Linked DNA regions of Rattus norvegicus. The main gene of each other region encodes a partner of the protein of the gene in region 2 in a complex. Links are inferred from orthologs where the notes say so. Each region holds a gene or a part of one and is shown on either strand. Other genes may lie near its edges.

The links.
Region 1: Usp39 (region 2) and Txnl4a share a complex: the UniProt entries of both Homo sapiens proteins name them as parts of the U4/U6-U5 tri-snRNP complex. The link is inferred for Rattus norvegicus from reciprocal best matches to the Homo sapiens genes USP39 and TXNL4A.

The regions. Positions count from the first base shown.
Region 1 is NC_086036.1:75,940,224-75,955,016, reverse strand, and holds the end of Txnl4a (thioredoxin-like protein 4A), read right to left. Parts: exon of another isoform or gene 14,508-14,793; intron 8,543-14,507; coding exon 8,439-8,542; intron 5,494-8,438; coding exon 5,322-5,493; 3' UTR 5,144-5,321; downstream 1-5,143. UniProt on the Homo sapiens protein: Plays a role in pre-mRNA splicing as component of the U5 snRNP and U4/U6-U5 tri-snRNP complexes that are involved in spliceosome assembly, and as component of the precatalytic spliceosome (spliceosome B complex).
Region 2 is NC_086022.1:105,943,866-105,959,013, reverse strand, and holds part of Usp39 (U4/U6.U5 tri-snRNP-associated protein 2), read left to right. Parts: intron 1-251; 5' UTR 252-588; coding exon 589-853; intron 854-2,565; coding exon 2,566-2,635; intron 2,636-5,590; coding exon 5,591-5,685; intron 5,686-7,705; coding exon 7,706-7,842; intron 7,843-8,418; coding exon 8,419-8,571; intron 8,572-9,696; coding exon 9,697-9,922; intron 9,923-13,250; coding exon 13,251-13,328; intron 13,329-15,148.

The DNA.
Region 1 (14,793 bases), on a different chromosome or scaffold from region 2:
TGAGCCCTGCCTTTGGGTTTAATTTAATAATTAAAGGCCTGTGGGCGTTGCCTTTAATCCTAGCACTCAGGAGAGAGAGGCAGGTCTCTGTGAATTCGCGTGGTCTGGTCTACACAGTGAATTCTAAGCCATCCAGGACTACACGGTTAGACTCTGTGTCCAAAGCAATACTACATACATACATACATACATACATACATACATACATACACAAAAATATAATTTTTATGTTTTCAATCAGTTGAAAATTTAATTGAAATGGGATTACCCACCCCCAACCAAGGGATCCCCCATGCTGTAACCTTCAGCTGTGCTGTGTGCTGTGTTATGTCTGTCATGCCTTCTCTGTGGGTCCAGAACAGTCAGGGGTGCCCACCCTCAGGGCTCCGAAATGGACAGCATGCACACGTGTTCATGCGTCAGGTCTTTGTCTTGAATGCTCTAAGACTGCACGGGCAAACACAACATGTTATGTCTTCGTCTTGATCTGTATGCACAGGCAGCCTACATACAGCCTTCTGCATCCTGCTGTTCGCTGTATGGGGCTCACCGGTTGGGTACGTGAGCCTCTGGACCGACTACTCAGTGCTATGCAACAGCCACTGTCTGTTTTCTCGCCTGTGTCTGGTGCGGCTTCCCAACAGTGCTGCAATTGGCTGCCTCTCTCCTTGTACACACTGGCCACTCTGTTTATCTCTGCAGTCTTGATGGGATCCTCCTTCTGACCCCTCTGGGTTTACTCAAAAGCCTACTCCTCATCTTGAGCAGTCCCCAGGCTTTGCCTACAGGGCATCCTGGGAAGTTTGGGGATGAATCTCCAGGTTGCCACGGCTGCCTTCAGCTGCAGCTCGAATGGGTGATCAAGTCAACTGCTCTGCAGCCCGGGGCACCAGGGAGGAGGGTCACTGGGTGATACTTCTGTATCTGTGACAGTCTCAATATTTATATACCCCAACTGGTGTGTTTATACACTGACCCCAGTGCAGCTGTGTTTGGAAAGGTTTCTAAGGAAGTAACCAAGGGTAAATGAGGTTACAAGGGCAGTCCCCGCCATCCAGTAGGTCTGGTGTCCTCATAAGAGACAGAAGTTGGCTCTTTCTCAGTGTGCACAGTAAGGAGAGCCCATGAGGGCACGGTGAGAAGACTGTCCTCCACAAGCCAGTATCCTGAAGCTCAACTGTCTCAGAACCGCGAACTTGTTCTTCCAGAACTGAGAAAATACATTTCTGTTGTTTAGTCTGTTCACTCTGTTATGAGAGTCTAAGCAGGCCATGAGCAGGAGGGATACAATCAACAAGGAATGTGGAACGGACAGGTTTCCACCCTTCTTCTCTCCTAACGTCGGAAGGCTACTATCTGTAATACCTTCATACCATTTACCCCACACAGTAAACAATGGCATGGCCTTAATTTGTTGTGCAATTTAAAACACGTTGTGATTAACACACGTTGTGTGTTGTGATTTTAAAACACGTTCATCATCTCAAAGACACCCTGCAGCTTCCTACCTCATGCCCACGTCCTACGCAGCCACTAACCCACTTTCTGTCCACGGGGACTTCCCTGTCTGCCAGTCTTCACCCAGCGATGGACACCTGGGCTTCCGCGTTTTTGCTGCTGTGGATAACGGTACTGTACACAAGTTTCTGTGTGGATGTTTGTTCTGTTTTCTTCAGTCTAAACCTAGGAGTGGCAGCTATAATATCACATTGGACTTGGCGAGATGGTCTCACCAGCAGTTGATGAGGACTCCAATTCCTCCCCATATTCACAAACACTTGGTATTGCCCGACTTGTGAAGCCATCGCTCCAGTGGAGGAGAAGTAGAATCGAGCTGTGGCTCTCCCTCCTGAATGGTGGTGTTGAGTATTTCTGTTTTCTGGCCATTTTCCCATCTTTGAAGTATTCAAGAATATTTTCAATGTCTGTTATGTGCCAGGTGCTCAGGGGCGCAGATTTAAAACAAAACACTAGATCTTATACCACTAGGATGCCATTTTATTTACTTTTAGCTTTTCTGAGAGCCGTGGGCTCCAGTTGCCCCTGCCTCTATCTCTTGAGGGCCATGATCACACCTATGTGCCACGATGCCCAAGTTTCTACTGTGTTTTATATGATTTATGTTTAGTTAGAAACCGTTCCCCATCCACCTTTCCACTTTGAAGTGTCTGGAGAACAGCTATGGCTAACTATGGTAATTTGGTTTCTAGAAGTAAATCAACTTGTCTCTCTAGATTCTTGACTGCCCTGCCCTGGGGGACCCCAGTAATGGTCAGCCAGGAAAGATGTATATTGATAACCTGATATCTTTTTAATGATGCGCTAATCCAATGAGTTAGTAATGAACTAATTTTATGGCTGGGTGTCCCCACATCTTGAAGAAGAACTGTATTAAAGGGTCACAGCATTAGGAAGGTTGAGAGCCACTGCTCTAACCCCTAGCAATGGTCAACTGTGGCTAAAAAGGGGAACTCTTCACCCTCTGTGTGGGGCCCTGCCTTTCTGGACTGTAACTTTCCAAGCACTGTGGACTCTGAGTCTCACAGAGACTCCACTCTGCAGGGGTTTACCCCTGGTAAAAGTAAAGACTGTACAGTTGCTGACCTTTCTGTGAGCACTTGGTAGCTGTTGGACTCCATTCAGTGGCTGACCAGTGGGAGCTGCAGTCCAGCCCTAAGCGGCTGGCACTCCAGTCTTCAGTGAGGCTCTGCCAGACAGGCAGGAAGGGCACCTGAACACTCAGACCGGTCTGTCACCCTCTCCTGAGCAGCAGCAAACTCAGGCACTAGCACAGGCCATTCATCCTGAAATTCCTCCTTGGTCACAGCCTTCTCAGTGGCAGCTTCTTTTTCTTCTCCCTTCTCTTCTGGATCTCTGCAGACATCAGGCACGGCTTCCCACGTTGCTCACCGGCCCACAGTCAGTAGACCCATCGAGGGAGCTCGAACGAAAATGGCACTGTCTACATAGTGCAGAGGAGAATCTGTTACCTAGAGCGTTGGTAGGCAGGTTGACAGGAAACACCTCTGGGAAGAGGGTGGCGGTCAGCCCTGGTATCCATCACCAAAGGTCCCTGGAAAGCTCCTTGGATCTAGTTAGTGAAGGTCCCAGGAGTGAAGTTGTTCAATGGCAGCGCAAACCTCAGCATAGGCTACAGTTATACCAGCAGCGACTTAAAGCTGACTCGGTTCTAAGGCGTTTCCCATGTGGTGGTTTGAATATGCGTGGCCCATGGGAAGTGGCACAGTTAGTAAGTGTGGCCTTGTTACAGTGGGCGTGGCCTTGTTGGGGTGGGTGTGGCCTTGCTGGAGGAAGTGCGTCACTGTGGGGTTGGGCTTTGAGGCTCCTATGCTCAGGCTTTGCCCAGTGCAGATGAGACCTTCCTCCTGGATTCCTGCAGAGCCAAGTCCGGTCTTGCTCGACTTTTGATCTAGATGTAGAAGTCTTAGCTCCTCCTCTAGCACCATGTCTTTGAGTATGCGGTCACCCTGATAATGGACTGAACCTCTGAAATTGTAAGCCAGCCCCAAGTAAATGTTATCTTTATTTTTTAATATAAGAGTTGCCTTGGTCATGGTGTCTCTTCACAGCAATGAAACCCTAAGACACCCAGGCCCGCTCACATTTGTGATGTACACAGCATTACTTTTCCTTCAGTAGATGTGCAAGTGCACATGTGTGCGAGCGCTCTGCATCTACATGTGGAGAGCAAGGCTGTACCACCTAAGCGTTTTCCTGTCACATCGAACTTAAGGACATTCTTGAGGGCGCCATACGGAGTTTCCCTTTATGTAGGGAATCAAGAACAATGATTGGGGCCATCCATGGCCAGTGAGGGAAGCTAAACTCCCTGTCCCCAACCGCCCCACCTTACAGGGTCTCAGTATGTAAACCAGATGACCAGACTGGCTTTTTGACCAGAAATGTCTACTTCTGCCTCCCAAGTGCTAGGGTTAAAGGTGTGCACCACCATGCCCAGCTACTACTTTCCTTAATGGGCACATTAGTGCTAGACATCCCACTGCAGATGGGCTTGTGACTGACTTTTTGCAAGCTAGGACTACTACTCTACCACCAAGCAGCATCCCAGCCCTAGACTCATGGCTTAGTCCATTTGACAAGTGCGTTTAATTGTAGGTAAGATGTCTGCTTCACTCCTGAGTTTTCACAGCGGGCCAACTTATGAAGAGCCCATGAGGTGTCCAGTGAGTGGCCACCACTGCGTACTATGGAGACGGATGAGACAGGTACAGAGGCCTGCCCGAGTCAGTGAGGAGCTTGTCCAATGTCAGCTCCTCAGATGCTGACCTTTCTCTTCTGAGTTTGTGTTCAGAGAGGTGAGAGGGTAGACCCAGGTCCCTCCACATTGCCAGGAAGAAACAAGAGAAAACTGAATAGATAAGGGGACTTGTACTGAGTGAAATGAGGACCCTGCCTCCTTAGGAAGTATGACACAGACAAATGGGGGAAGAGTCGAGGACAACTCGCGGAAGGGAAGCCCCAGACAATTGCTATTTTTGCAGTTGTCTTGAGCGCAGCAGTCTGGCCTCGGCGGGAAGCAGGGGTGCATCATACCTGGATTCCAGGGCTATTTTATACGCTGAGTAAGAGTAAGACTGGGTCCTCTTAAGGGTTGTCACCCCAAATCAATATATTGATGTTTTAAGCTCAGAATCTCAGACCATGACCTTATTTGAAGTGATTATCATATGTAATTGGTTAAGATGAGGTTGTCAGAGTGAGGTGGGCCCCTCAGACAATGTGACTGGTATTCTTATAACTATGAATATTTTGAGATTGGCATATACATGCGTACACATGACATACACAACTCGTAAGGAAAATGGCAAACACTGGGATAATGTACTCTCAATCCAAGGTTCACCAAGGACGGCTAATAACCTCCAGAGCTAAGGGGTTACTATGGATAGCCCACGCCTCAAATGGAACCCAGAACACAGCCACCTCAGGTGCAGACCTGGAAAACCATACAGCTGAAATGTCTGTGGAAGCCACCCTATCTGTGGTATTTGCTTGACAGCTCTAGCGACCACTTGAAGATGCAAAACCTGACAGCCTCATGGGACAGACAACGCTTTCACTGAGAGTGAAGACATTTACAGTCAGTAAAGCACACGGCAGATTCCTACTGTTCCTTCACGTTTATTTGCTTCAGGTAGTTAAGGCCCCTGTAACTCATCTCAAGGCTCCTCCAGCCCTAAGGCCATGTTCTGCTGCAGGCCCTTTCCCGAGGCTATGAGAGCAGAGTCTGTCTAGCCAGAAGAGGCTCCCAGTGTCCTGTGCACAGCCTGAGTCAGTGCTCAGTATCTGTACTTTGTGGAATAGTCCTTGGGCGACACCACCAGGCCTCGGCCTTTGCGGGCGCCACGGTACACGGTCTCTATGATGTCAACCATTTCCTGCTTGTCTTCCATGGCCCAGTTGATCTTGTTATTGTTACCAGTGCCCAAATCAATCATGATGTGTTTGTTTCTGAAAGAGAAGAGAAGAGCGATGCTCACAGAGAGCCCCACGCACGTCTGGTCTCTCTGCGGCCTAAGCACCTGTAATGCCATTTAAGAGCACAGACCACTCAGAGAGTCCACAGTTCAAGACAAAATAAAGACAAACACTAAATATAATTTTCTATAGAAAAACTCTGCACTCTTCTTGGATTTTCTGTGCATTTGTTTACATATATAATTTAGTTCTTTTGAGACAGGGTCTCTACATATCTCTGATTGTCCTGGAACTCACTTTGTAGATAGGGCTGGCCTCAAACTCAGAGACCCCATTGCCCCTGCTCCCGAGTTCTAGACTGAGGGCATGCACCGCTGTGCCCTGCAATTGTGCATCCGTATCTTGGACTGTAAAGGTCAAAGACAGCTGTATCGTTCTGAAAGACAAGCAGTTTTCCCGAGGTGCTCTAATTTTCCTGAAAAAGCCTGTGACCTTCTCATGCTTTGTGCACAGGGACTTGGTACAGATTCACCAAACGCTTTGTAACCGTGGGTTGAGAATGATGGCTTTGCCCACCTGGTATGCTGTGACTGAGAAGCAAACAGTCCTTAGCCACTCACCCTTCAGAGGACAGGCCTTTCCCTCACTTAGGAACCTGCATTTGTACTTTCTGAATAAAGATATTAATCCCTACTGAATTTGCATGAATTTTTTCAAGTTTCTAAAGATCTGTTTCTATTAGTCTAACACTATGGGATCACTTCTATGGAATCACACACTGGCTTCCACTATAGCCCATGACCACGCCCCACTGGTTCTGAGAGCAGTGAAAAGGTCAGTTTGACATGACATATGTCAAATATTCACTCCCAGGGAGCATTCCATGTCCTCAGTTAGCCCAGGAAGGGGGTGGACACCCACACCTCCTCCTACCCACATGCACAGCAGCCCTACTGGGCTCTATGGCTTAGTCTCTCTGTAAGCACACTGGACATGACTAGTACTTTGTATACCCGGGAACCCTGTGTGATTCTGACAGGCTTCAGTCAGTTTTATCTCTGCAAAGGGTTTTTGTAAAGAGGAGCCTGGCTTCTCTTACTCTGTCCCAGTCCTAAGAGTAAAACCTGGTAGGTACTCAGTGTACCTGGTAGGTACACTGGGATATAAACTGACCACTCTTGACTCTTGTTCTAGAACTTTGGATCACAGAAGAAGGAGGAAATTTGTCTTCTTTTCTGAGTCCACTATCTGTCCTAATGACCTCAAAGACACCGGCTGTCCCTACCCACACACCAACACTGCTTCCTCCAACCTCCTCCCATGCCTGTCGCTGTCTCTCTAAGCTAGTCCCTCTCTCCCATGTGAAGTGAGCGCCTTGTTTCTCACAAAGAGGAAGGGACTTTGGTTGCACACTGGGAAGGAACTACTGTGTCCTATAGTTGTATGGAAAGCAGAACTTGTTAACTGAACTTGTTTTTTAGCAGAAGAGATTTCCAAACAAGGAAATGCTGCCTGTTTTCTTTCTGTCCGTAAAGGACAGAGATGAGTGGGCTCAGGACTGTTAGTGAGAAAATTAAACTCGCAGCTTCTTCAGATAGCACAGTGCTGAAGGCCAGAACATTCGCAGGCAGCAACTGTGGAGGAAGAGAAGACTGTGGAAAGAAGAGAATGGCCCCCACTGTGGCTGAAAGAGCTGGTCAACCTGCTCAGCTGCAAGCATCAGTCATGAAGGAGACTTGGTTAGATCCCTTCCCAGGGGGAGCACGCAGCTAGGAGTGTAATACTGAGCCTTATTAAAGTTTGTCTGGCCCTGTGTGCTGTGTGTGCAGGTGTGGGGTGTTGGAGGTGGAAGGGGAAGAGGCTCCCTGTTTCTGCCCAATCCCTCTGAGCTGGAACAACTTCACAGGGCAGGGGTCACGCTGTAGACCTCAGAGCAACTGACTGGGTGATCTGGACAATGAGGACTGTGACCTGCTGGTCCCAGGAGTGGGGTCTCTAGGGTCCTTGGAGACCTGGGAGAGGGTCCTGGCTTGCTTTAAGGGAAGGACAGTCTCAAGGATAATAGACAAAATCCTAAAATACCGCCCGTCCCTGGGACCTCTGCTGTGACACTGCACAGGACATTCCTGACACGGGCCAAGCTCCTCAGTAGCTGGCTCTAAAAGGAGATCACTGTGATTACCCAACTCGCACTAGTCTAACCCCCCTCTAAGAAGGAGAGGATTGTGCGAAAAGCTCACTGTGACAGACAATGGATGCTGTCTTACTCAGACAGAGGAGCCTTAAAGAGCAGAGTGGCTCCCACCAACAGCAGCAAGAAGAAAAGCCTCAGACACCTGCAATCACTCAGCCCACAGGTCACGCCTGAGACCCTGCTTACCTCAGCCTCAGAGCTGTTAACTCACAAACGAGAGCCAGTTTACGCTAAGCCTGTGCATGAGATCAAACACACAACTCCGCTTTCTATCTGGACACCGCCTTTGGAGGTCTATGACTATAGACCAACTTCTTTAGTAATTACGAGAAAAACTTTTGATGAGTAGAACCAGTCAAATGAAGAGGTCTTCCCAAATTCCTACCGGAGTGTTGAAGCTCACAAAACAACCTGGGCGTGCATGGAGCGAAGCAGCTCAGGTTTCCTTCTTGGATTTTGTCAATGGACACCACATAAAGTCAGTGCCAATATCTAGCGAGTGAAGCTGTATTCTAAAAGGTTTCTTCATCAGCAGATTTTATCTGAAGGTATTTTAAATGCCTGAAAGAATGTCTATTTAATTACACTTCACAACCATTTCTGGAAAGTATTTCAAGAGTTATTTGTTGTTTGAGTGGATGTTAAAATTGGAATTGGTACTTTACAACTATTTAAAAGACTCAAACTGCACAACTGACTTCCTTCTGAGCAAAGGGATCTGTCTGTCCCATCAAACTTCCAGCCCAACAGAGCTCTATTTAAGCAGCAGTTTCAGACAGCCTACCTGAAGAAGAACATGACCGTGCATGGGTCATAGAGCTCATACATCTTGTTGAAGTCAGGTACTTCTGTAATATCCACAAGATAAATAACTGCAAAATTTTTAACCTGGAAAGAGATTTTAAAAACCAAAATAAGATAAAATTGGTTTTCATTGTATAAAAGTAAATTAAAACAAAAAACAAGACTGTGTAACTGGGCATTTTTTCAAACCAGTTACTAAATATTTGTCCCACAGAGCTGATGAAGAAAAACCACATGGTCCTGCCAGGTTCTGACCAATGCTACTCACAGCTCTCTGCCAGCTCCAAGTCACTTAAGAACTCAACTTGTCTCATGATCAAGTTAACAGTGTTGCAGGAAATGCCCACAGCCCTCTCACTTGCCTACTAACGAGCCGTTTTCTAAGTTTTTGTAAGTTTGTACTTACAAATACTCATTCCATGTTATCAAACTCAACCATCCACTCTCCCCTAATTGCTCATTTCAATGCTTGCAAACACTACTAGTTATTATTCCACATGTTAAATTTTCTACAATTTATTACAATTTTCTAGTGCAAATGTATCAGTTTAATAAAAATTTTTAAAAAGACTGAAAGCACCCTAAATCCCATTGCTGTTAACGTTTTTGCTAAGTTCTCCCTACCTCTTCCTAGATTCATTCTAAAACTCTAGCACTTTGACAAGATGGCCATACTGTATTCTGCTTCCACCAAAGGCATCCTTGTCCACCAAAGACGCTCTTTAGCTGCCGGCTGGAACACTCTTTGCTTATTTCTTTGCTGAGTTCCGAAGAGCATCAATAATTCTACTATGCATATTGACTTTAAATTTATGTATACACTTCCTAAGGATAAACCTTAAAGCAGCCTTAGACACAGAGTGATGCGTTCCTTAAATATGCTCTGTGCACTATATAAAGGCACGACCTAGACATGTCATAGACATGCCACTTGCCCCAAGTCTCGATTCCTAACCCCCGAACTGAGAAGTGACTCTAGGAGGGTCACTATGGATGAAGCTGGTCATGAGGTTAGGCTAGGAGGTGGATCCCCCACTCCGCCACTGCTCTATTTATAGGGACAAACCACATGACAGCTACTGGGAACATGGGCACCAGAGATGTGCACACAAGCTGAAGCCAGCACCAGGAGCCACCAACCAACAAACCAACCCAGGGATTCCCCACTTCCCATCTTCCTTTAAGAAAGATGAAACGGATTACCATGGGTACATGTGGGTGCAGGGTATGCCCAGCATGCGCCAGGATTACCATGGGTACGTGTAGGTGCGGGGTATGCCCAGCATGTGCCAGGATTACCATGGGTACGTGTAGGTGCAGGGTATGCCCAGCATGCGCCAGGATTACCATGGGTACGTGTAGGTGCAGGGTATGTCCAGCATGCACCAGGATTACCATGGGTACATGTGGGTGCAGGGTATGTCCAGCATGCGCCAGGATTACCATGGGTACGTGTAGGTGCAGGGTATGTCCAGCATGCACCAGGATTACCATGGGTACATGTGGGTGCAGGGTATGTCCAGCATGTGCCAGGATTACCATGGGTACAGTGGGTGCAGGGTATGTCCAGCATGTGCCAAGATTACCATGGGTACGTGTAGGTGCGGGGTATGCCCAGCATGCACCAGGATTACCATGGGTACGTGTGGGTGCGGGGTATGCCCAGCATGCACCAGGATTACCATGGGTACGTGTAGGTGTGGGGTATGCCCAGCATGTGCCAGGATTACCATGGGTATGTGTAGGTGCGGGGTATGCCCAGCATGCACCAGGATTACCATGGGTACGTGTGGGTGCAGGGTATGTCCAGCATGTGCCAGGATTACCATGGGTACGTGTAGGTGCGGGGTATGCCCAGCATGCACCAGGATTACCATGGGTACGTGTGGGTGCAGGGTATGTCCAGCATGTGCCAGGATTACCATGGGTACGTGTAGGTGCGGGGTATGCCCAGCATGCACCAGGATTACCATGGGTACGTGTGGGTGCGGGGTATGCCCAGCATGCACCAGGATTACCATGGGTACGTGTAGGTGTGGGGTATGCCCAGCATGTGCCAGGATTACCATGGGTATGTGTAGGTGCGGGGTATGCCCAGCATGCACCAGGATTACCATGGGTACGTGTGGGTGCAGGGTATGTCCAGCATGTGCCAGGATTACCATGGGTACGTGTAGGTGCGGGGTATGCCCAGCATGCACCAGGATTACCATGGGTACGTGTGGGTGCAGGGTATGTCCAGCATGTGCCAGGATTACCATGGGTACGTGTAGGTGCGGGGTATGCCCAGCATGCGCCAGGATTACCACGGGTACGTGTAGGTGCGGGGTATGCCCAGCATGCACCAGGATTACCATGGGTACGTGTGGGTGCGGGGTATGCCCAGCATGCACCAGGATTACCATGGGTATGTGTAGGTGTGGGGTATGCCCAGCATGTGCCAGGATTACCATGGGTATGTGTAGGTGCGGGGTATGCCCAGCATGCACCAGGATTACCATGGGTACATGTGGGTGCGAGGTATGCCCAGCATTCGAGAGGATTACCATGGGTACAGTGGGTGCGGGGTATGTCCAGCATGCGCCAGGAGGGCAACATCAGGAGAGTTTTCTTTCACCACGGAGATGTTCCAAGGACTGACTTCAGGTTATTAGGCTTATGTGCAAATACTTTTGCTGCCTTGCTGTACACCCAGCCTCCTTATTCCTGGACATATTATCTCATTTTATATTCAGAGGAGCCTTAGCATGCTGCCCTTAGAGACAGTGAGGCACCAGCTGGCACAAGGTCACACCACAAGTATCTCCAGGTTTGGCTCCATGTTCTCTCGAGTAGCTTTGCTATCCCTGAGGTGTCAGTACTGGTGAGGACTAAAGACTGCACAACACTTAGGCCTCAGTACTCAGGACAGAGCTGCATGACGAAGGGAGTCGACTATGGTGCCTGTGTACACACACACACACACACACACACACACACACACACACACACACACACACACACACACAGGCTGTTCACTTGGGTTTGTCTGAGATGGGATCTTCTTATTCATATAGCCCAGGATGACCTCACACCTGCTCTGTAGTCCAAGGGGATCCTGACGTGATCCTCTGCTTCTGAGTACGGGGATTACGTGTGGACCAACCTCGCCTGACTATGAATACCTTACTTAGTGTTCTCCCTTTTGGGGCACAGGATTGAACCCAGGGCCTCATGCCTACTAGGTGAGCGTATTACCACAGAACTTAACCTGTCTTCTTTTATTTTGAAATAGGGTCTCACTAAATTTCCCTGACTGGCCTTTAAGTCATGTTATAGCCCAGTCATGCCCTGGACTTGTGGTCTTCTTGCTCCAGTTCCCCAAGTTCTGAAATGGCAGGCACCCGCCATTACACCCATTTCCTTTATCTCTTCATGGCTAATAATCCTAAAACCTACCAGCTAGGCTGGACACAGAACTTAGTGTCTGCTACATGTGCAAAGTCTTTGGTTCAATACCCAGTGTGTTCCCCCACCAAGCTACCTGCAAAAAACAAACTCTCGCCTTATATGTAGGCCAGTGGTAGAGCACTTGCCTAGTATACGCAATGCCCTGGACTGGGTTTCCAGAACATCAAAAACTACAAACCCCACCCAGAAATCCAGTTTGGTAACTTAGTTTATGGGGAGTAACCTGTCTGTCGCCTGGGATCTGCTTCCAGTGGTACAGCACAAAGGTGAGTTCAAGACTGCCACCCTGACAGTGTAACAGGCATTGGCTGCACTCTATTGCTGGCAATATTCCAAAAGTCAGCAAGGAAATTAAATCATAAAGTGACAGTTTATACTTAACAAGGACTTCAACGTACATGATACACTGTGCACGTCTGGCACATGAAGTGTACGTGCCGTGTACACATCATGGTGCATGAAGGACGTGTGTGCGTTACCATCTGCACATCATGGGGCGCAAGGGATGTGTTTATATTAATCACTAGAAACCATGAACTCCACTCCCTCACCTCGTGCACGCCTTAGTTAGATCTCAGTTCACTGAAAACTGCTTTCCCACAGCATCCATGTTGAAATCATCAGCCAGGTCACCAGCTCCCAGCTTCCATAGTAAACACATTCCATCCTGGTATTATTTAAAAATAAAATTGCTCACCATAGAAGATGAGGCCATAGAATCATCAGATCAGGAGGCTGTGTTCCATTTTCTGTTCAACTTGTCCAAGATCATCCAGTTTACGTACCAACCACAAAACCGTTTAAATATGGGGACATTCAGCTACCAGGGAGAGCAACTCTATAAACACCAACCTGCTTGAAGACACACGTTTCTCCTGTCTTCAAGCTTAGTCCGGCCCATCATCATCAGACAAAGACTCCATGTCAAACATACATACTCTAAGGACTTACATAAACATTTCAGGGCAGATTGGCTCAGTGTCTGAGAACCTGCCACAGACAAGGAGCTTCTTGATCATGAATTCTAATTCTTTCAACAGTCTGAGACCATGTCAGTGTTTCACATGCCAAGAATTTAAGGTTCAAAGCCCCAGGGGAAAAAGAGCTGAAACTGCACCCAGGTCTGCCCCAGATGCCCCTGGATGAGAATTCCTGAGCTGAGTCATGAAGAAACTGTTCTGCCTGAAGAGGTGGAGGCAGAACTGTGGAGGGCGGGCGTCATTCAGTAAAGAGAACTCCACCTATAAAGACAGAAAGAGCTGGGCAGTGGCACCACCTCTAATCCGAGCACTGGGAGGCAGAGGCAGGCAGATCTCTTGAGTTGGGAGGCCTAAGTTGGTCTCCAAAGTAAGTTCCAAGGTCAGCTATGCAAAGAAACCGTCTCAAAACACAATAAAAGAGAAAGAAAAAGACAGACACAAGACAGCAGTCGAACCTCATTGTCTAGCTTCTGGATGAGAAAGCAGAATTAGGAATCTCTTCTTGGAGCGCCTATTCACAAGGTCCTAGACACAGGCCAGGCTCTGTAGGTGCCAAGAAAGGAACCTGACGATGGCTTTTAAGTACTGCTTGGTACAACTTGAGGTTGGGCTGGGAGAGACTACCTCATGGCCACCATTTGCTTCTGACCAGCCCCGAGCACCTCAGGTGTTGATGCTGGGACTTCAGTGTTAGCGTAGAACCCTTTACAGGAGAAAGCATGAGGGCTAGGAGGAACCCCCCCCAGTGACACAGCCAATGTACTTAACATGTGTAAGGCCCGCACTGCAATTTCAGACACCAGCCCAATCAACAAGGAGGCACCTGTACTGAGGTCCCTGAGAACTCAAGTCAGACAGAACTAAAAAGCTGTGACTGACTCCTGGGCAAGACGGGAGAAACTGCTTATGAAGCTGAGGGAGGGTAACCATGGAAAACACTAAGGTGAGGAAGTTCCTGGCAAGACAGGAAGAGACAATTAGGTGGGTAGGGAAGGAAAGTGTCAGGCGGCCTTCACGCTATGATGAAGACATGGACCAGATGTTCTTCCTAGCAGGCAGTGAGGTGAGGGGCTAAGGTGGAATCATCACAAACCAAAACCCAGTTTCCTGGTAGTTTTGCTAAGACAAGATCTTACCCTGTAGTCCCAGCAGGCCTAGGACTTGCTAAGTAGATTGGACAGGCTTAGAACTCAAGATATGCCTGCCAGAGGGAGCCTTACCACTGGCTTACTCTGCCCTCTTGTAATGGCCTGCCAACATCTTAAATGTCATAAAGCAGAAATACTCATTTCATACACATTACAACAAAGCTAAAATTAAAAAAAAAAATTAACGGGAAGACTAACCTGCCTTCCTCAAAATTAACTACCAATCAATGCCACCAAAGTTAAGAATGGGGATTATTTTGATTATTTACAGCCAGACTCCCCAGCCCCCCAAATATAGAAATTGGTAAGAGGAATCATGTCCTCTCAAAAATGAAAACCTCGGCTGTTTTATAACTCTTCAGCTCAACCCGACGCCCTATAGGGTGGAATGTGTTACCTCCACAGAGGTGCCCTTGGGACTAAACTCGAAGCACTAGAAGGATTAACCAATCAATTCCCACAATAAACGTGTTCTCCTTCTTATATATTTTTATTTGTTCAGGTTAGAGATTGCAATTTAATTTCTGCTTGTCCTTTCCTTAAGATCTACAAATTCTGCTCCTGTATCAGTCCAGAACCCATTACCATCTCTGACCAGGAAAGGGAACATTCTTCTTCAAAAGGAGGGAGGGCAGGGCCAGGCAGTTCCCCACAGAAAGCAAGAGTGGGTAACTCCCCACGGGGCAGAGGGCATGAGGACTAACTTGATGGTTCCACTCCAAGGAAAACCCAGAAAACACTGGCAAAGGCAGAACAC
Region 2 (15,148 bases):
TTTAGCAAATTAGACACATCAAACGTGTACTGTCCTGTATATCAATTATACCTCGATGGAACTGTTCAAATAGGCAAGGTCTAAGGCATGACTCCGTGGTAAAGCTGAATTTGAAGTTTTATTAGCTAAACAATAAATGCGTAGAGTATTTGCAAACTCCTTATTTCAAGAGCCCTTTAAATATGTTACTAATTGAAGTTCCAAGGTACAAGCCTGAATGAAGGAGAAATACTGATTTTTTTTCTGTTTAGGTCATCAGTCCCTGATCATGGGGACATCTGTGGATTGTCGTTTCGAGACACAAACTATCCTGAAGATATCTCGGGTTGAATGCTAGCTTCGTTTTTCCTACAGTCAACGTAGCCTATGAAAGGTTCTATTTAAGCTGTGAAGAGAAGATGGATAAAGGACACAATATGTTCAAAACTATCTCATTTGGGCCAGCAGCACCTATAACGTTTTATAAGCTTGTACTGTCCCTCACAGCGACTCGTAGCGAGCTGTGCTTCTGAAGCTAGCTCGGCTCTTGATTGGCTGCTTGCCTCCCGTGCGCGGCGCCGGCGCGGAAGCTCCTAACCGGTGGTGGCGATGTCTAGCCGGTCCAAGCGGCAGTCTCATGGTTCTACCCGTGGGAAGCGCGAGTCCGAGTCTCGAGGTAGCTCGGGTCGCATCAAGAAGGAGCGAGACCGCGAGAAGGAGCCCGAGGCGGCGAGCTCCCGGGGTAGTCCGGTCCGCGTGAAGCGGGAGGCCGAGCCGACTCCGCGAGAGGTCCCGGCGCCCGTGCTCCCGGTTGTGCGGGTGAAGCGTGAGCGTGAGGCCGACGAGGACTCGGAGCCCGAGCGGGAGGTGCGAGGTGCGCGGGGCCGGGCCGGGCGCGACCTCCCCTTTTGCCTGCTTTCTTCTCTCTCCTCCTACTTTTTGAGACAGGTCTCAGAAACGTGAAGCTGTAACCAGAGATGATCTTAGATTCCTGGTACTTTGCCTCCCTTTCCTGAGATCTGAGATGCCCAGTTTTCATCTGCATTTTACTTTTCCTTCCTACCGCCTCCTTGCATGGGTTTGAATCTAGACTGGACTGCCTTCAAATGAAGACAATTCTAAACTTAAACGTTGTCACCATACACCACAGCTTCTTCCCGTTATTGAATGGCTCATGTGAGTCAGGTGCTCTGCTGATAGTTGTACAGGTGTTCCCCTCACCGTTTTCTATTTCCCTTCAAAATTCCTAAGATTCAGAGCCAGGTTGTAATTTCTGGAACAAGGCTGTTAGTCGAGTGCACCCGACTAAAGTAGTGACTTTGTATCAGTTGAATAGTTCAGAGACGCTTCTGTTTCTCCTGGGTTTTGCATGGGATTTCTATGTTGTCTTGTAAAGGATGTTGATGTAATGAACAGCCTTGGGAGACAGATTGTATTATTCCATAGAGCAAAAGGGAGTAAGGTCACATGAAGGTATAATTCCCTTAAGGGCAGGGATCTTCTATAATGTAACCCACTGTGAGCACTGGCTCTTTTTCTGTTCTAGTGTGGGACTTAACTCTAGGATCTGGCAAAGATGTCATATAATTGGATATTGTTAGTCGCTTTAATAGACTCTTTGGTTTAGTCTGTGATCGTGTGCCTTCTGTCAGCATCCATGAAGCTGTAGCAAGCTAACACATTAGAGCTAACTTTAGAGTTAGCACATTAGGATTAACTCTCAGAATCCATCACAGTTCTTGGACTAATGGTAGATTTAAGGATGTTTAGACTATCTTAGTACTTGTGATATATTTCATGATAACTTTCATGCCTATTTGATATTTATTTATTTATTTAGGCAGGCTCTTAATAAATAGCCCTGGCTGTCTGGAACTTTTTCTGTAGACTTAGGGATTTCACCTAGCCTATCCTCTCAAGGGTTAGGATTAATTGTGTGCACCACTATACCTGTATGCACATACCATGGTATACATGTGGGCAACTTGTGGGAGTCAATTCTTTCTTCCTACCCTGTATGTCCCAGGGAGTGAATCCAGATAGTTGGGTTGGTGGCAAGCCCCTTACTAAGCCATCTCACTCGCCTGGATTCCTTTATGTAATATATAAGTTAATCTTTTGTTGGTTATATATGTAATAGATCTACTCTTGGTTTGTAACTTATGTCATTAGTGGCCTTTTTTTTTTAAATGTTGTCACTAAATGAAAAGTACAAGCTCATCTTACTCTCAGTGATCAGACTTTCCCAATCTCAGTGATCAAAAACTTTCCCAATCTCAGTGATCAAACTTTCCTAATCTTAGTGATCAAACTTTCCCAATCTCAGTGATCAGACTTTCCCAATCTCAGTGATCAGACTTTCCCAATCTCAGTGATCAGACTTTCCCAATCTTAGTGATCAAACTTTCCCATTCCTGTGATTTTTGTTTTGTTTATTTGTTTTGTACCTGTGATTTGAGGAGAGCCTCCTGTCGTCCATTTATGGTGCTGGAGCAAATCCTGCCTGTGCTAGTTAAGTGTTCTACCACTGAGTTATTTTCCAGCACAAGTTTCCCATTTTAAAGCCTGTGATGGATTTCTTTTCAGCAAAGAATGGCCGAGTGGATTCTGAAGACCGGAGGAGTCGTCACTGTCCATACTTGGATACTATTAATAGGTGAGTGATGTGAAAAGGATGAGGAAAGTCTTGGTGATGTATCTTAGTAGTGAGCACTTGCCTGACAGGGCAGAAGTCCAAGGTTTAATCACCAATACTATGCGAACAAACAAAGTCAGTGGATTTTTTAAAAATTTATTTTATGTGTATTAGTGTTTTGCCAGCATGTGTGTGTGTGTGTGTGTGTGTGTGTGTGTGTGTGTGTGTGTGTGAGTGCACCAAATCCCCTGGAAATGGAGTTATAGACAGTTGTGAGCTGTCGTATGGGTGCTGGGAATTGAACATCTGGAAGAGCAGCTAGTGCTCTTAACTGCTGAGCAATCTCTCCAGCCCCATATGTAGATTTTGAGATGCAGAATACAGTAGAAAATTCTCTAAACTGAGCATTGAAGAATACATTCAAACCTTCCTCCTTTTATGCCTGTCTGCCTAGGAAATTGTGCTTCTTGACATGTTCAGTTGTGTTGTTCCTTTATAGTGACAGTGCAGTTTTTTTGTTTTTTTGTTTTTCGGAGCTGGGGACCGAACCCAGGGCCTTGCAGTTGCTAGGCAAGCGCTCTACCTCTGAGCCAAATCCCCAACCCCAACAGTGCAGTTTTTTTTGTTTTTGTTTGTTTGGTTTTTTTTTTTTTTTTGAGGTGTGTGTGTGTGTGTGTGTGTGTGTGTGTGTGTGTGTGTGTGTGTGTGTGTGTAAAATCTCTGGCTGTCCTAGAACCCAATCCGTAGACCAGGTTGCCCTTGAACCCAGAGATTTGCCTGCCTCTTGTCTGCCTCCTGAGTACTGAGATTACAGGTGTGGACCACAACACCTTTGAAGATACTTGAATATCAGCTTCAGCACATGGGTTAAGGGAAAGAGCTCACTATAAAGTAAGACACACTTAACAGCACGGATGTGGGGTTCTCAGAGAAGTGTTGCCTTTTGTTGTTATTTATGTGTGTGTATCCCTGCACAAGTTCATGTGCATCATGTGCATGCAGGTGCCTGTGGAGGCCAGAAGAGGGCGCCAGTTCCCTTTGAAGTGAATTTATGGGTGGTCGTAAACTGCCCAGTGTGGGTGCTACAAACCCAACTCTGGTTGTCTGCAAGCACTCTTAACCATGCAGCCATCTCTCCCAGTCCCCAAAGTTCTTGTTTGCTTGTTTTTGTATGGCAGAGACTTTATCTTGTATATTCTTTGATTTTCAGTTGTCCTCAGCCTATCTTCTAGAATGGTGCTGTCCAATAGAACTCTCCACAACAGAGAATTTCATTTTAAGATGTTGGGTTTTTTGTTTTGTTTTGTTTTGTTTTGTTTTGTTTTTGTTTTTGAAACAGGTTCTGATATGTGGCTCAGGAAGACATTGAATTCTCAACTCTCCAGCCTCAGCCCCGAGTGCAGGGGTTATAGGTGCCCCACCAAACTCATCAGCCATTGCTCTCAATAGGGGATGTTTGCTGTGGGAAGCACAGGCTACACAAGGCTCTTGATGACTTGACATATGGCTCATGCCCTGGAAGCACTAATTCATTACTTTGCTTGTGGTACTGGAAATCAAATCCAGAGCATTTATGCTGCACATACCTTACCACTGAGCTACACTTTAGCTTAGGAACTAAATTTATCAATAACCACATATGACCAATGGTTCCTCAACAGTATAGCTGTTAATATTTACTATGGAGTCTCACATTTGTGGATTCAGTGGACATAAAAGCTTTTGGTCTCTTTCTGCTCAGCACTCATACTGTGGCTCTGTGTTGTGTTAAACTTCTTCAGCTGCTTGCTTTCTCATTCCTCCTCTATCCTGTGGTTTTTCTCTCTTTTTCTTTTTTTGGTGTGGTGTGCTAGGATCTTGTGCTTGCTGGGCAAGTACTTTACCACTAAGCAAAACCTCCGGTCCTTTCCTTTTCAAATTCCCAAGCTTACCCCCTCCTTTTTTTTTTTTTTTTTTTTTTTTTTTTTTAATAAACAAATAAAATTTTATAGCCAGGCATGGTAGTAAAATGTCTTTAATCCCAGCACTCAGGAGGCAGAGGCAGGTGGATCTCTGTGAGTTCAAGGCTAGTCTAGTCCAGAGCCAGTTCCAGGACAGCCAGAGCTACATACAGAGGAATCCTGTTTCAATAAACCAAAAATAAATAAGTAAATAAATAAAATTTTTATTTATTTTTGAGCCAGAATCTCACTGTGTAACTCCAACTAGCTTGGAATGCAATGTGCAGACTAGACTGGCCTCAAACTCGCAGACGTCCACCTACCTCTGCCTCATTAGTGCTAGGATTAAAGGTTTGTGCTACCATGCCTGGCAGATTCTTTAGTCTTTAAAAGGATGTGTCCTTTCCCAGTGCTGTTGGGCTCTTATTTTGGTCCTATTTGTTGCTTTCCCTGCAAAGAATGTGAAGATTCTTTTTGTTTTCCATGTCTTACTGTATAACCGAGGCTGGTTTGGAACTGTTTATGGCTAGAGCAGGCCTCAGACTTGCAGGCTTCCCGACTCAGTGCTAGTGTTGCAGGAGTGAGCCACTGTGAAAAGGTTGTCTTTTATATCCGTCAGGTGAGTGGAACCAGGATTCCCTGATATATGCCAAAATCTGGCTGTTCAAGTTTTTATAAACTGTGGGTTAGTATTTACATATAATCTATGTAGATTACTAACCCCAAATACAGTGTCAGTGCTATGTAAAATCGTTGTCATGTTATCATTTAGGGAAAAGCCTATTCATGTTTAGTGCAGATCCAGCTTTTATCTTTGCCATATGTCGATCCATGGTTTTTGACTCTAATGAAAAAGTGTGTTCTGGGCATTTGTGTTTGATGCAGACAGTTTGAGCCTGCTGTGGTGGCTGGGTAGAGGTATGTGGTCTATGTGTAGTTGCTACAGCATTCTCTTGTGTGTGTTGGTGGGGCAGCATTGTGGGACACAGAGCCAGTGCCACCTCACCCCGTCACTGTTCTGTGCTCTGTCTCTCAGGAGTGTGCTGGACTTCGACTTTGAGAAACTCTGTTCCATTTCTCTCTCGCACATCAATGCATATGCCTGCCTGGTGTGTGGCAAGTACTTTCAAGGTAAGTAAATGGGGAGAGAGATAAACGTGTTAAGTTTGTGAAGCTGCCCCCTTTCCCCCTCATCTTTATTTCCAGGAAACTGGAGAAGGTTCCCTCCTTCATCAGAGTTGAGCACATCTGGAAGAGAGAAAGATCTGTGAAGAAAGACCAGCTCTCCGAACAATGAGTTTCTAAGCTTCTGTTTACTTTTTCCCCTCCCTTCTCTGCCATCCTTCCTTTTGGTATTGGGCATTGAACCTAGGTTCTCAAACATGCTGGCAAGTACTCTACCACTGAGCTACATCCGCAGCCCCTGGGTTTCCAAGTCTAGTGTTTTCTGTATTTATAGTTTTATTGTTTGAGATGGGGCCTGAGCACATAGGCCAGGCTTCCTTGAACTTGAGTCTCCTCCCCAGGTTTCCTCATGCTCAAGAATACTTATGTATTTAGTTCTTTTTGGAAAATGTATTATTTTAACTCATTTAGACCAAGGGAGTAGTAAGAACATTCATAGTCCACTGGTGATGTGATTTAACTTTATTATTTTGTGTTTGTGTGTGTGTATGTGTGCACGTGTGTGCACACATGCGCATGCCTTTGTGTGCTTATATAGAAGTCAGGACAGGGTGCAGGGGTTCTTTTTCTACCATGTGGTTCCAGAGATCAAACTCAGGTCACTAGGCTTAGTGGCAAATGCCTTTACTTACTGAGCCTTTTTGACTTCTCCCCAATGTCAAGTAAGTGTGTGTATTTGTAGACAAGGTCTTGATCCTCCTGCCATCTCTCTACTGCTGAGATCACAGGTGGCACCATGCCCAGTCTGCCTGCCTGCCTGCCTTTCTTTCTCTCTTCCTTTCTTTCTTTCTTTCTTTCTTTCTTTCTTTCTTTCTTTCTTTCTTTCTTCCTTCCTTCCTTCCTTCCTTTCTTTCTTTCTTTCATTCTTTTAGGTTAGAATAAGAAGTGATGGGGTTTTTTTTATGCATGTTCATATGTTGTTATAATTCATTCTTTTTTTTGTTTTTTATTTTGTTGTTGTTCTTTGAGACAGGGTTTCTCTATATATCCTTAGCTGTCCTTGAACTCACTCTGTAGACCATGCTGGTTTCCAACTCAAGAGATCCCCTGCCTCTGCCTCCCAAGGGCTGAGATTAAAGGTGTGAGTCACCACTCTCTGGCCTATTTTCTCTTACAGCTCTTCTGCAAAAGGATTCGCATGGGCTGAAGGAGAGCAATATTTTAGAGTGCTGGAGGGTGATACATACATACTATTATCCAAGCTTCTCAGGAACCTTAGGTGGGAAGATAGGAAGGTGGGAAGTTGAGACAGCTTGGGAACCTAAACAAGACCATGTCTCAAAATGGAAGAGTCTGGGTGGTAGCCCAGTGCTAACTCGAGAGTGTGTGTAGAGTGCACAGAGCTCTGGGTTAATCTCAGTGCTACAAAACAGTAGAAATCACAGAGGGCAGAGGACATGGGCACATGTCCTGAACATGGGTGGGAGGCCTCAGGACAGGTACAGCTAGGTTTTTTCTTTTTTCTTTCTTTTTTCTTTTTTTTCCGGAGCTGGGGATCGAACCCAGGGCCTTGCGCCTGCTAGGCAAGTGCTCTACCGCTGAGCTAAATCCCCAACCCAACAGCTGGGTTTTTTAACGTATTTGTATACTTACTTACCAAAAATGTATTTTCGACTGTTCCTAGTTTATTTTTTTTTTTTTTTCCGGAGCTGGGGACCAAACCCAGGGCCTTGCACTTCCTAGGCAAGCGCTCTACCACTGAGCTAAATCCCCAACCCCCCTGTTCCTAGTTTTTGATGCACGTGAAGTTGGTTTGTGTCTACTTTATATTGAAAGTGATTCCCTAACTTATATCTTAATGCTCTTTCTGGTTCTCTTTGTGAGAGAAGTTTATGTAATTAATTTAATGGAAGGTGTAGGGCTTTGTTTTTGCTTTTAACATGTTTTACACAAAATAATGAAATGGAGCAAACCTGATTTGTGCTTTCTAGGCCTTTCTCTGATAGCCTTTTTCCTTTCCCCACAGGCCGGGGTTTAAAGTCTCATGCCTACATCCACAGTGTCCAGTTCAGCCACCATGTCTTCCTCAACCTCCACACTCTCAAGTTTTACTGCCTTCCTGACAACTATGAGATCATCGATTCCTCGCTGGAGGATATTACAGTATGTTTCCCAGGTTGCTAGTAAGAGGCACGTTGTTTTGTGAGCTATCTTAAGGATTCCTAGAGAGTGCCCTACAAGAGGTCAGGGATGTATTTGGAGGGAGAGTGAAATGGTGAAATAAATTCAAGATTTCAAAGTAAGTTCATGATGATAACTATGTGACCAAGAAGACTCCATTCTTGCCCACACAGTCCTGGGGAGGCTTGAAATCTTAGTGCCAGCAAAGAAGGGGGTGCTCCCATTTTTGAGCTAGATACATATGACACCTCATTGGAGACTTAGGATTATAGTCCTTAGGATCCTGTGGTTTCTGACAGTCATTGATCATGGAACTGACCAAGTTGTAGGGTTGAACACAGACCTGAAATTCAGTGATTTAGGGTTAGACGTGGAACTCCGTGGATGAGTGCCGTGGAGGGCTTACTTTGTTAACTTGATCTTCATCCCTGGCTGGGGCCTTAGGGTGTGTAGTGAGGCATTCATGACCAGGGTGTTTTTATTTTGGGTAGGAATTGCCGTTCTGGACATATCTTAGAGCTTTCTTACAACAACTTAGAGTTTTCTTTTGCTTGGCAGTATGTGTTGAAGCCTACTTTCACAAAGCAGCAAATTGCAAACTTGGACAAGCAAGCCAAATTGTCCCGGGCATATGATGGTACCACTTACCTGCCAGGGATTGTGGGACTGAACAACATAAAAGCCAACGACTATGCAAATGCTGTGCTGCAGGTAGGCTCAAGAGAGAACACTGGGGAGGACAAACTGGAAGCAGTGCAAAGGTCACCAGGAAATTACTGCTTTCTTAGAGAGTGCTGTCAGAAGGTCTGTCTGAGGACACTACTTGAGCATTTGTTCTGCAGCCAGCAGAACACTCCTCTCTCTCTGGTCAAGGGGGTGGCTGCCACATGCTGAGAGATTTTTTTTCAGCCTCTAAGTTATGGCTCCTGAAGTTTCCAGGTGCTAACAGGTGCACCTTGTCACAAGGCAATGCCAAAACTAAACTCGATGCTTATATTTGCATTCCTTTCCCTCCCGCTTCCTCCTTCCCTTCCTCTTCCTTCCCTCCCTCCCCCTTCCTCCTTTCTGTGTATGTGTATGCACTATGTGGGCATGTACATGTGTGAGTGCAGGTACCGGTGGGCTCCAGAGAAAGGTGTTAGATCCTCTGGAGCTGGAGTTACAGGCAGTGCTGAGCTGCCAGACATGGATCCAGGAGGTCCTCTGCAAGGGCAGGATGCAGCCCCAAATACATTTTTTAAAAGTACTTTTTATGATTTTGTTTTTTTGTTTTTAAGCTAGGGCCTTGCTCTGTATCCCAGACTGGCCTGGACTCACTACATTGTCCAGCCCGGCTTCACACTTGTGGTAGTTCTCCTGTCTCAGCCTTCTAAGTGCTAGGATTACAGAGTTACTGTGCTTTTCTTTTAAAGTCTTTCTGGGTGTACATGTTCACTAAGTGATTGTCAGCCTTTATTTTTTTCTTTTAAAATATTTATTTATTTATATAAGTACACTGTAGCTGTCCTCACACACACCAGAAGAGGGCATCGGATCCCATTACAGATGGTTGTGAGCCACCATGTGGTTGCTGGGAATTGAACTCAGGACCTCTGGAAGAGCAGTCAGTGCTCATAACCATTGAGCCATCTCTCCAGCCCGTCAGCCTTTATTTTGTGTGACTCAGTGAAGGACATTTTACTGAGCTCTGGAAGCATTTTCAGAGGGTCAGTTTCTTTTGGATTTTTTAAGGCCATCCTAGACCTGTCACAGGCTTTGTCTGAGTGTTAGCTGGAACAGCTCTTCACAAGAGGTCTTTTAAGGGGCTTTGGGTTAACTAGAGTGCTTGACTTACAGGCACTATCTAACGTTCCTCCTCTTCGGAACTACTTCCTGGAGGAGGACAATTATAAGAACATCAAGCGTCCTCCGGGGGATATCATGTTCTTGTTGGTCCAGCGTTTTGGAGAGCTGATGAGAAAGCTCTGGAACCCCCGAAACTTCAAGGCACATGTTTCTCCTCATGAGATGCTTCAGGCCGTCGTACTTTGCAGCAAGAAGACTTTCCAAATTACCAAACAAGGTGAGAAACAAGTCATCCTCCTCTCTGACTTGAGGGCAGCATATCAAGACTGATGAACACATTCATTTCCACTGATAGGAACCGAAGGCACTGTTTATGGATAGTGGGTTAGGCTCTTTATTCTTTTCTGATCAGTCGGTTTTGTGTAGAGAAACCAAAGACATTGCAGCTGAATGACTACAAACTGTGTCATCTGACAAAATAATGGCGTTGCTTATGGGGAACCTGGGCACGGACCTGTTAGTGAGCAGTGGCCACCTGTGCTACCCACTGTCTGGCTCCCCCCTGGGAAACTGTTGGCTCCGTCTCACCTCTCAGAGCCTGCTTCTGACTGCGTCTTCTGTAGTGCCTGTTTTGAGAAAAGGACTCACTCTGGAGCCCTGATTGTCCTGGAGCTCACAGTGTGAACTAGACTGGCCTCAAACTCAAACTCCACCTGTCTCTGTCTCCCCAGTATTGGCTCATTCTGTACTTCCCTTTTCTTGCAGAGTTTTAGAGCTGTGGTGATAAGGAATGTGACCATTTTCTTCTAGGATCTCCTTGGCTAAGTGGGGAAGGTTATTGTATAGGAAGGTAGTCAGAGTGTGTTAAGTGCTATGACAAGAAAAAGCAGAGGCCCTACTTTGTGGGAGCTTGGGACACAGACCCAGCTGAGCATCTGGAAAGGGTCCTGAGTGTGAGGCAGAGCAGGAGGAGGCGGGTTGGTGATAGGTGTGCCCGTCAGGCAGGCATAGAGGTGCCAGTGTCTAGTTCGGCATGCACAAAAGTGTCTGGCACAGAGAGTAAGTAGTCATATTGTAGATTCCAGGGTCAGTGGAGGATCAGGGTACTAGCTAGGAAGGAGGATTTTTTTCAGTGTCTTTGTAAAAAGATTGGATTATATCTTAACAAGGTTGAGAATTAGTTGACACAAAAGTGTGATGTCAGATCTATGTTTGAGAAATATTATTCTGACTGGGCATGGTGGTACATGTGTATAATCCCAGTACCTTGGAGGTGGAGACGAGTTCAAGGTCACCTTTAGCTTTATGAGGTCTTTTCCTCAAAATCCAAAAATATAATTAAAACTCCATTATTCTGATAAATTACTTAAATAGAGGGAAAGTTCAGTGACTTGCTTTTTAAAAAATTTTATTATGTTATGTGTGTAAGTGTTGTGCCTGAATGTATAAATCCGTGTACCATATGGGTGCCTGGTACCTGAGGAGGCCAGAAGAGGGGTCAGATTCCCCACAAACTGGAATTATAGACAGTTGTTAGCTGCCATGTGGGTACCAGGAAACAAACCTGGGTTCACCTGAAGAGCAGCAGGAGCTCTAAAGTGCTGAGCCGTCTCCAGCCCTCTCCACACATCTCCCCCGCCCCCTCTCTCTCTTTCTTTCTTTGATTTCCTCCTCCTTCTTTTGTTTTTTTGTACAAAGACAGGGTCTCACTATGCAGCCTTGGCTGTCCTGGATCTTACTGTGTAGGCCAGACATGCCTGGAACTCACAGAGCCACCAGCCTCTGCATCCTATGTGCTGGAATAAAAGCATGTGCCACCATGCTTGTCTCTCAGAGTCTCGGGAGGTCAAGGAAAGGAGCACTAGGGAATGACAAGAAGATAAGGAGCGGCTGATACTCTTGGGGTTTAGGATTTTAGGATAACGGAGAGAATGGTTCACTTGGGAATGGACAGTATATGTTGATCAGAACCCCATGATTTATTCCCAGTTGAGCAGAAGTTACTAAGCCTTAGCACAGTGTTTCACAGTTTGCAACAAGGCCAGTAACACCTTACACTTCTGAACGGGGACAACTACCTCCTGTTCTAGAACCATCAGATTCCAACATCTAGATTCATAAGTCATTTTGTTTCTGGACCAACTCTGAGGTTCTTTTGATTTTTTTTTTTTTTTTCTTTTTTTCAGAGCTGGGGACCGAACCCAGGGCCTTGCGCTTGCTAGGCAAGCACTCTACCACTAAGCTAAATCCCCAACCCCTCTTTTGATTTTTAAGATTTGTTTTATTTTTAAGTGTGTGTATAGGCAGGTGGGTATGTGCATGTGTGTGCATAGTTAAATGTGTGTATGGGCAGATGTGCATGTGTGTGCAGGTGTTCTTGGATTCTAGAAGAAGGTGTTGCATCCCCTGTAGCTAGGGTCACAGGCAGTGGTAGGCAGTCCACTGCGGATGCTGGGAACTGAACTCAGGTCCTCTGTGCAACCAGGGACTCTTTCGTTTTTTATGTCAAGGCTGCAACAAGATACAATATTTTTGTAGAGAAATCTATTTTTTGTGCCATGGCTGGTTGTATCTATCAGTCTTCCCTTTAGCTTTCAACAGCTTTGCAAAGTTAAAGCTTAATTGGTTAGAGAATTGCAGAAAAATCTTAACTCTAAGAATAAACTTATGCTTGCCTAGTTTCTTCTGTCATAGCATAGTTTGTGTTGTCAGTGAAGCACAGTTTTCTCAAGTGTCTGAGACATGGGTATTGTCAGTTGCTTAGATGTATGTGGTGTCTATGGAGTAGTTTTTGCTATGGTTGTAATTAAAGGGTGGGGTGTGTGGAGGAAAGTGATTTATAGAGTTGTCAGGCCTTTGGAATCAGGTAGATGAAGTTAAAGAAGATCATACAGACTTAGAGATTTCAACTAGATGAGCAGAGAGGAAGTAAATGGAGAGAGACATTAGGTGAGAAATACTTGAGAGGGAGGCAGTTAGTCTCACCGTAGGCACTCTTATCAAGGGCCAGGAATGCTGCTTGTTCCCAGCATCCCTTGTTCTACAGTAGATGCCTTTAAAAAGAAAAGATTTATTTATTCTATATGAGTACACTGTAGCTGTCTGCAGACACACCAGAAGACGGCACCAGATCTCATTACAGATGGATATGAGCCACCATGTGGTTGCTGGGACTTGAACTCAGGACCTCTGGAAGAGCAGTCAGTGCTCTTAACCACTGAGCCATCTCTCCAGCCCTAGATGCCTTTTTTAATACTAGCACCAGAAGTCACCTTCCTGAGACATGAGAGTCTTTATAAGGTAGGGAAAGGAGGAAGTCAGAGCCACTTTGAAGAAGTGGATGTTACAAGGTCTTCATTCATTGTTATCACAGGGTGATGAGATACATTTGGATGATGACAGGGTCACCAAAGTACCTTGAGAGAAAGAGAAGGCTGAAGAGTAAGCTTGACCTTGAGGAGTGTGGGTGTTTGTGGTCAGGTAGAGGAGGATGCACGGAGTATGGGTATGTGACAAGTAGCCGGAGAGGATGAGGAGGCCAGCCAGTGCATGTTGGTTCCTTTCCTGCCTCTGAGCTTCAGCGTGTTCTTTTCCTTTTTTCCCAGGGGATGGAGTTGACTTCCTGTCTTGGTTTCTGAATGCTCTGCACTCAGCTCTGGGAGGCACCAAGAAGAAGAAAAAGAGTAAGTCATGATGCTTGTCAAAAGAGCCCTATTTTCTTTCTTTCTTTTTTTTCTCACTAAAAAACTTTTTATAACTTCTGTCCTTTTCATTTGTGTTTGTTTGTTTGTTTTTCTGTGACAGGGTTTCTTTATGTGGCCTTGGCTGTCCTAGAACTCATTCTGTAGACCAGGCTGGCCTGGAGATCCACCTGCCTCTGCCTCCTGAGTGCTGGCATTAAGGGTATGCACCACCGCCCAGCCCACTTCTCATTCTTTCCTTTGGGGTGGGAACAAGTGGGGGTTAGCGTGTGTTATCTACCTTCCTCATCGGAGACAAAGTCTTGCCCGAGCCAGCTGGAGCTATCCTGGAACTCAGGTTCTTCCTGTCTTAGTTTCTTCCATGCTCAAATGACTTTGAACTCCTGATCCTTCTGCTTCTGCCTCCCAAATGTTGGGATTACAATTAGGCTGCACTAGGCTTAATAGACCTTGCTCTGTGTTGTGTTAGAGTATGGTTATATTCTCAGCTTATTTTTCCCTAGTTTTTGTTGTTTTATCTTTTTCTTTCTTTCTTTCTTTCTTTTTTAATCTTTGAAATACAGTCTTTTTCTTTTCTTTTGAGATGCTGTATGAATTTATTAGTCAGTGAATTTTGACACTGTGGAAAAGCATAAAAGTGCTCAGGACACCAGCATAGCATAGAGGTAGGAGAAGAGTTAGGCTCAGTCCTAACCCCAGGGAGTCTAGGGTCTAGAACGGGCAAGCATGCATGGGTTAGAGTGGAGGTGAGAGAGGGCAAGGGGAGGCTGCGGGGCTTGTTTGTCCATCTCTTCAGGGATGCCCCTTCTTAAAGTGGAAGTCAGATGTTCTGCTTTCTAGACTCCCACCCTGCCCGTCAGGTGCCTGTGTCTTCTCATCCCCTCCCTCCTCCTCTCCCTCATCCCTTTCTTCCCCCTCCTCTTCCTCTTCCTCCTCTTCCTCCTCCCATGTCTCTGCCTCTTCTTCCTTCTTGTTCCTCCTCCCGCTCTCTCACTTCTCGGCCTCTCCACTTTCAGCTTCCCCTGCTTCCCCTTCTCCTCCTTCCTGCTCCTCACTATCTCCCCTCCTCTGGCCCTCTGACTACTCCATCTTGTTTTTAGTCTTCAAACACAAGACATTCCTCCTCAAGACCTTTGCCCTGCCAGTGCCTACTTCCTTAAAGTCTTACAACATGCATTTTGTACTCTGGCAAACTGCTGCTGACATGTAACCTCCTCCAAGAGGCATCCAGGACTGCTACACCCAACAGGGCCCTGTTTTGATCTTGGTGCCCATTCTTAAGCATACACAGCTCTTCTCAGTTTACCACAGGGCTTCAGTTGTCCAAGTAACTTTCATGGACATGAATCATTTGCTTGATTCCAGTGAAATAGAGTCTTGCTGCGTATCCCAGATGGGCTTGGAATTTATGATCCTCCTGACCCAGCCTCCCAAATACTGAGATTACAGATATACCCCACCGCACCTAGCCGTAGCGGTATTTCAAGCACAAATGCCTGGAAGATGCTGTGTTAAGTGAAGTAAGCCAGACAGAAGCCATGACTGTGCTATCACTCCAGAAGTGACCTTCCAGCAGCTCAGAGTAGAGCCCTGGTTGCCTGAGGCCTGAGACTGGATGGACTCAGATAGAAGGATAAGCAGGAAGAGCAGCTCTCAACGTCTCTGACACAGTAGAGTAGCAGTGGTTGACAGCACTGACTGTATATGTTGGTGTAGCAGATAGAGAGGATTTTGAATGTTTTGAGCACAAGGAAGTGATGAATGTTCAGAGATGGATATACCAGTTAGTCTCAGCTTGTCCT